Linked DNA regions of Schizosaccharomyces pombe. The protein of the gene in region 1 interacts with the protein of each later gene in a pairwise test. Each region holds a gene or a part of one and is shown in the gene's direction. Other genes may lie near its edges.

Region 1 (3,759 bases):
AACACATAACGCTTTCTCGTATTTTAAGTCATTTTGTAAGGAAAGTGTATCCAGTCAAATCGCCCTCTGACTCACACTGTAAAGTTTCATTACCAGCTGTTCGTGATCATGAAGAAAAACTTACATATTGGTGGAAAAACTTACCTTCTTATTTAAAAATGAGCGAAGTTCCAAAATTTTCACCCAAATGGATCCAAGCAATAATACTGGAATTGAAATTCAGGCAAATAGAACTCATTTTCTATCGCCCTTTTATTCACAGTATTAGTACACCAATTGATAATCAGAATGGGTCGCCAATGAAACCTGCAAATTTTGCTTTAAAGTGTGCACAATCTGCGGAGCGTGTTGTTTTTTTGTTACAGGAATTGGCCAAATCTCCAAATACTCCCAAACTGTTTTTCAATTTGTATTCTGGATACTACGCGTTAATGACCTTGACATATTGTGCTACTTTGACGAAGGACGATGCCAATAAATCTAATAATTTCATAACTAAGGCAAGATTAGGATTTCATTGTCTACAAATGATATACCGCGAATCCACTTACTATAGTACAATAATGGAGGCAATCAAGAACTTGCTAATTGCGTATGATATGAACTCATCTGGTACTGAAAATTTGGATGCGACCCCGGATGTTACAGGACAACTACCAAACAACTTTTCGCAGAGAACTAGTAATATACCTAGAGAGTTTCCGCAAGCACAAATATTTTATTCAGATGCTCCTTACCCAGGTTACTATAATCCTGCCCAGTTTCAAAATGCACCAACAAATTTCCCTATGCCTACGTATGGTGGGCGTACACAGGATCAATCTTATCCTAGACAAAACGGATATCCTTCCTATTCTGATGGTAATGTATACCCTCATGATAGGGTTATGATTAATTATGGTTCTTCAATGCCAACAGCGAATGGTTTTTATGTTCCGAACACCTATTCTCCAGTACCTTTCCCGTATAATACTTCATACCCTCCATACATGAGTCCAACTTCGAATATGCCTCAGGCTTTCCAAGCATATTCACAGTATCCTTACCAGCACCCGCCTTTTCCCTTGTCAGAACAAATGCTACCACTGCCTACTTCAGGGGTTATGATGGCACCTGGAGCTGCAAAATCTGGCATGCCGTATCCCTTCATTCAACCACCTTCCATGACTAACCAAGTTGCTTATCCTACTGTCCGAGATGGTTCTAATAATTCTCCTGACCATCCAAGTTCCTCAAACTCTAAAAGAACCGAGTGAGCGATCAATGTTGTTAAGCATAGAAACTCACTTTTGTTTTCAAAATTTTTTTTTCTGCAATAATTCTTGCTTCACTTTTTATCTTTAATAAGGGTTCTAGCTCCAACTTTTAGGGTTTGCTCATGAGAAAAAACATTGACATTTTTAAAAAACTTATTTTTTGTTCCTTTTAATTAAGTGATATTTTGTTTGGTTGATGATTAGCTTTTTATGTTTATTGAATAATAGAACGATTGAATATCTAGATTATCTGTCTTCCTAGATGTTTGTGATAGATTTGCTTTTTGATCTTTTGATCAAGCTTAGAGAGTTAGCCTACTGCTTCATGTCCATTAGCTAGTGATATTTACGCGCATTATTATCAGCAATGAATAACCAAGTAGTGTTAAAAGCTAAAAATTTTGGAGTAAAGTTACGTTGAAGTTCTACATTATAATGGATTACTGCAAAGCAATTGATGAACTAAAAACTTTAATAGTGTGCATTTTCTTTCACGATGGAATGTATAATTACTAAAATGACAATTAGCTGTTTATTTTGTAAGCAACTGCAAACCCAACTGTGGAACGTATTGTTGAGTACCTTTGGCATCTAGGCTAAAAAAATGATCCCTATAAAAATCTTCTAAATAAAAGCTCTGCGAAAAAAATGGTATCGAGATCTGATGCTTACACTGTATTTTAGACGTTGAAGAATTTAAATAATTAAGCCTGCACACTCAATATTTACCACCACACAACGTTGACACCGCCTTTGCATTCATAAAAATGTTTGCAGTAAAATATTAGTAGTCTCATCGATTCAATTGAAGCATAATCCCAGCTTAAAAGTTCGATGGTTATCAGGTTAATACTGAATGAAACCTTTAGTTTGTGCGTATAATTTTTTATGGTGAATTGTATTTTATAGAAATATCCAACTTTCTACTACAGAAGAAATACCGTAATTAGGTAAATTATGGTTGGGAAATCTAAAAATAGGGCCCACAAAAATATTCGAGCTAGATCTTGTCTGAGATGCAGGCGCCGAAAAGTCAAATGTGACCGCCAATATCCTTGTTCTCGATGTAAAGAGAGTGAAGAATCATGTACATATGGAGTAAACGAGCAAGCAGTCCAACTTCTTGAAGAACCTTTAAGCCGACCAATTACTAGAGAAACAGATAGTTCTGCTCATCAAGAGACTCGGACGCGTTTGGAAGAAAACAACCTCCCTAAAACCCAGAAGTTTGGATTCGTAGACTGGAAAACAATTTTGAAATCTTCGGCTGAATTTCAAGGTATTGTTCAGAGAGATCCAGAATCACGTTTAAGAGAAGCTTTAGAAACGGATCCTAAATTGAAAAAACGATTAGAATGTATTTTAGAAACTATCCCTCCTTGGGATGTATGCGAAAGCCTTTTAAAAGTTTATGCTAATACTTTTAATGTAACAAATTATATTTTAGATTTTGAGCAAGCTGATAAATTGTTATCTGATCTGAAAAATTCTAACCATGTTTTCGCGACTTCTATTATTTTAATAGTTACAGCAATTGCGGTAGCACTTTCGTTAGAATCCTTTCCTTCAAATATTGAAAGATACTTTTCGGCTGTTAATCATAGCGCCATTGAACTATCGGATGCATTAAATTCAAAAATTGATGACTTTTTAAATGAGGAGGTAATATTTCGACTATGGAGAAATATTGACAGAATTCGACTGCATGCTATAAGGGCGCAACTTTGCATGCGAAACCAGTTTCGAAGTATGAACACTGATCTATGTTATGCAATTCATTACGCATGTTTTGTTAATCCAATCTTTCAAAATACTGATACCGAGTATGAAGCAAATATGGAGGTTTGGCTTTCGATTTGTGAGATAGATGCTTTGGAATGTGTTTTACGATCTTGCCAGCCTTGGGTTCAGCACGATATTTACGGCAAACTTCTCTCTCAGCGAAAAATGGGTTCAGATGTTATTAGTTATGAGTTTCACTCACTACTCGGGCAATTGTTAACTTGTGGTTTGGAAATATATAAAGCTATTCATACTTCGACTGTAAACGAATTCGTTAACTCTATTCAGTTTTATGAAAGTCAACTATCGCTGGTTTTAATGGAAATAGAGTCGAAGTTTTCTAATATCGATGGATCAGATATTCATTTTCGCTATTTATTTCTCAAAACCGTATTTTGGACAGTACGTAAAAATCTTTATCAAGGTTTTATTACTGTGAGCCGTACTTTAGTACCCAATTATCCAGATATTGTTCAAAAGCTTGGCCAAACATCGATACAGTTGTCACGATTAATTAGCAATTCAATGGATTGTTTCGAAAAATACGGTTGGCTGAAAGCAATGTTAATTTTAGTTACACATACGTTTCTTATAATACATGTTTGTTCCGAAAGGGGTTACGATGTCCCAAAGGATTTTTGGAATGTAACTGCATCAGTACAGGCTACCCTTGAGGAAAAGAAATATCCGGGAATTGTATGGGAAAGGATTCATTACGTTC
Region 2 (3,345 bases), 3.0 Mb from region 1:
GTCATTTTGATTATAAATATTTGAGATGGCAAGTGATTGATACTCCTGGTATTCTGGACCACCCTTTAGAGCAAATGAACACCATTGAAATGCAATCTATTACTGCAATGGCTCATCTTCGATCTGCGGTTTTATATTTCATGGATCTCTCGGAAATGTGCGGTTACAGTGTTGCTGCACAGGTTAAATTATATCATAGCATTAAACCCCTTTTTGCCAACAAGGTTACTATTTTGGTTCTCAACAAGATTGACGCCATGAGGCCTGAGGATTTGGATCAAAAAAATCAAGAGCTTCTTCAAACCATCATTGACGACGGTAATGTTAAGGTGGTTCAAACTAGCTGTGTTCAAGATATCGGTGTTATGGATGTACGTACTACCGCTTGTGAAGCCCTTTTGGCTGCTCGTGTCGAACAAAAACTTAAGGGCTCAAGGGTTAACAATGTTCTTAATCGCATTCATCTTGCTGAGCCTGCTGCTCGTGATGAGGTTGCACGACCAGCTTGCATTCCTGATTCTGTTAAAACTCGCCGTGCATATGATGCAAATGATCCAAATCGCCGTATACTTGCTCGTGATATTGAAGCTGCAAACGGAGGTGCTGGTGTCTATAATGTTGAATTGCGTGACAAGTATATTCTTCAAGACCCTAGCTGGAAATATGACCGTATGCCTGAATTATTGGACGGTAAGAATGTGGCTGATTTCGTTGATCCTGAAATTGAAGCGAAGTTATTAGCCTTGGACGAAGAAGAAGAACGTCTTGAGCGTGAAGGATATTATGATTCTGACCAAGAAATTGAGGATGCCGATGAGGAAGAGGTTCTTGAAAAAGCAAGTAGAATTCGTGAGAAAAACAAGCTGACTATGTTGGCTGCTCGCCAGAAGAAAATTAAAAATCGTCCTGTACTTCCCCGTACCGCTGGCATTCGTACTTTAGACGAACTACAATCTTCCTTACAATCTGCTGGGCTTCCCTCAGATTCTATTGAAGAGCGGGCACGCTCCCGTGCACGTACTGCAGCAGCAAACGAAATGGCTGATGGTTCAGGTGTTGACTTGTTAATGAATGAAGGTGAAGAAATTCGCTCTAAATCTATTGCCCCACGTTCACAAAGCAACCGTCGCGAATCTGGTGTTCACGCAGAAGGTGCCAGATCTTACGCTGATCGCCTGGCTCGTGTCAAACAGATACACCGTAACCGCATGGCCAGGGCTTCTGAAAGTGATCGACATGTTATTGCTGCCAAGCCTAAACATTTGCTTAGCGGTAAACGTGGTAACGGTAAAACTCAAAGAAGGTAGAATAATGGTTTTGGACTTGGGGTTCTTTTTTTATATAAAACTTTAATATTTGGTTGGTTATTTGGGTTTGGATAATATGGGTGGACTTGCAAGACTTTCTACCTACATCCCTTTTTGTTTCTTCACATAAATTACTTTTGTTGGAGGATGTTGTCCATTAGGAAAGAAATTTAATATATTTCAAAGCTTTTGCTTAATGTACTTTCAGTTGACAATTGAAGCAGTTAATTATGTAGCCGTGCATAACAACACCTGTAGTTTTTGGCTGTAAATTTTATGCTGAGTAAATAGATGAAAGTAAAAAGAATGAGTAATTAAAATCTAAAGTTAATCAATAGCTAAGGTTGATCGTTGTTGAACAGAGAGGCAACTGTCGTGCTCAAGTGCTAACTGCTTTAAGATGCCAAAAACCATACCCTTGCAATTAGCAAAATAATGCTAGATTAAAAGGTTATAGTTAGATCAACTATGCTTTGTTTAAATAAGTAATACTTATAGCTTGATTCTGTTATAATCATGTTCTCTCCTTGTACCGTTAAAGAAAAACGTTCAACTTTGCGAAGTGTCGCTCCCAACCCGGAATCTTCTGTTATACCTCCAATTCCTTTACCATCAAGAAGGTATAAAACAAGACATATTGATGCACTTTGTTCGTTGATGCACCTTTGCTTATTGCGCAAAGATTACCCAAGGGCATCTAGGGCTTTTTCATTACTGTTGAGATCTAAGAGTGTTGACATTTCCAAATTATGGAACATTGGACTTGAAATTTTGAACAAAGTTAATCCAGAAGCTTCATCAGAGTATATGGAGCGACTAATAGCTCGATATCCTGCGCGTCCATCCATTAACAACTCTTATCCGAATCGTAATGTAAGTGTATACTGGTACAAAACGTCTATACTTTCATCTTTTCGTGTATTGAATTTTTTGTCCCTTCTTATTTGAAATCAATCATATGTCGCAATTCTATACTAACATTTACAGGCAGAACATTTTTTTCCAGCATATATCATGCTACTTATTCAGCGCCAAGAATACAATAAAGCTATGAAGTTGCTTGATGAGTATTTGCTGTTACCACCCTACAATCAGAATCCTGCATTGCATGAGTATTCCGGAATGTTGTGTTTTGAACTTGCCAAGGAGGAAGCTTCAGAATCTGAGCGAACTAAATGGATTGAAAAGGCGAAATACAACTTTTCAAACGCAGGAATTGACGTCGAATTGTAGATTTAACATTCCCATGGCATTTCAAAAAGCACATTAGTATATTTAATATTTTAGATTGACCATCAGAAAAATTATGTATATTAGCAAATAATAAGATGGGAAGATACATTTAAATTTAAATTTAAAACTAATCATTAGATAGCCAACGACTGTATAAAAAGATTGTTAAATATCTATAAGTTCAAGTTGGTATTTATATAAAAAACATAAAGAATGCAAAAAATAAGATAACGAAAGAAAAAATTATTTTGAATAATAATTTAAAACCAAAAAAATTAAGATCCACTTTGATCTGTATTAATCGTATTATACATTCCCATAGAAAGCAAGTTCAAAATTTCGTTAATTTTCTGTTTCCGTTGCGCTTGCAATGAGCATAATTGCTCAACGAGCTTTTCACGAGCAGCTTCGTTTTCAGCTGTAAAAAGATCAACTTCGTGTTTTGAGCTTAAAGACGAACGGTTCGTTTTAGTATCATGACCAACAAGGTTTTTGGTCTCCGAGATATCAGCTAACTCATCAGTACTCCATATTTGAGAAAAGTAAGTTACGTATTTTTTTAATTGATGAAGCTGAACTGTTTCAAGGTAATATCTAGCAGTTTTCAATGTATGCAGAAATTTTTTACACTGGTGAATCAAATCCTCCCGCTGATTTACCAAGTAGTTCTCGTCATTATTGGTACGTTCATTCCATAATCTTTGGCAAGTTTCAGTTTCCCGAACTGTTTGCTCCAACGCCTCCATTGCCAAATTATAGGTTAGTTGTTTTTCAGCAAGAGATGCTTCATGGCATTTTGAAAGTT

What was found.
Region 2: the proteins of SPOM_SPBC16G5.17 (region 1) and rrn11 interact in a two-hybrid assay, tested with the Schizosaccharomyces pombe proteins (one large-scale study listed by BioGRID).

What each region holds. Positions count from the first base shown.
Region 1 is NC_003423.3:4,245,605-4,249,363, forward strand, and holds the start of SPOM_SPBC16G5.17 (transcription factor), read left to right. Parts: upstream 1-1,987; 5' UTR 1,988-2,213; coding exon 2,214-3,759. Other genes in the region: regulatory protein ntu1, read left to right, coding at 1-1,256.
Region 2 is NC_003423.3:1,234,846-1,238,190, reverse strand, and holds rrn11 (RNA polymerase I transcription factor subunit Rrn11), read left to right. Parts: upstream 1-1,709; 5' UTR 1,710-1,823; coding exon 1,824-2,180; exon of another isoform or gene 2,181-2,294; coding exon 2,295-2,540; 3' UTR 2,541-2,686; downstream 2,687-3,345. Other genes in the region: GTP-binding protein Nog1, read left to right, coding at 1-1,307; MBF transcription factor complex subunit Res1, read right to left, coding at 2,816-3,345. UniProt on the Schizosaccharomyces pombe protein: Subunit of a multiprotein complex essential for the initiation of rDNA transcription by RNA polymerase I. Binding to the DNA template is dependent on the initial binding of other factors.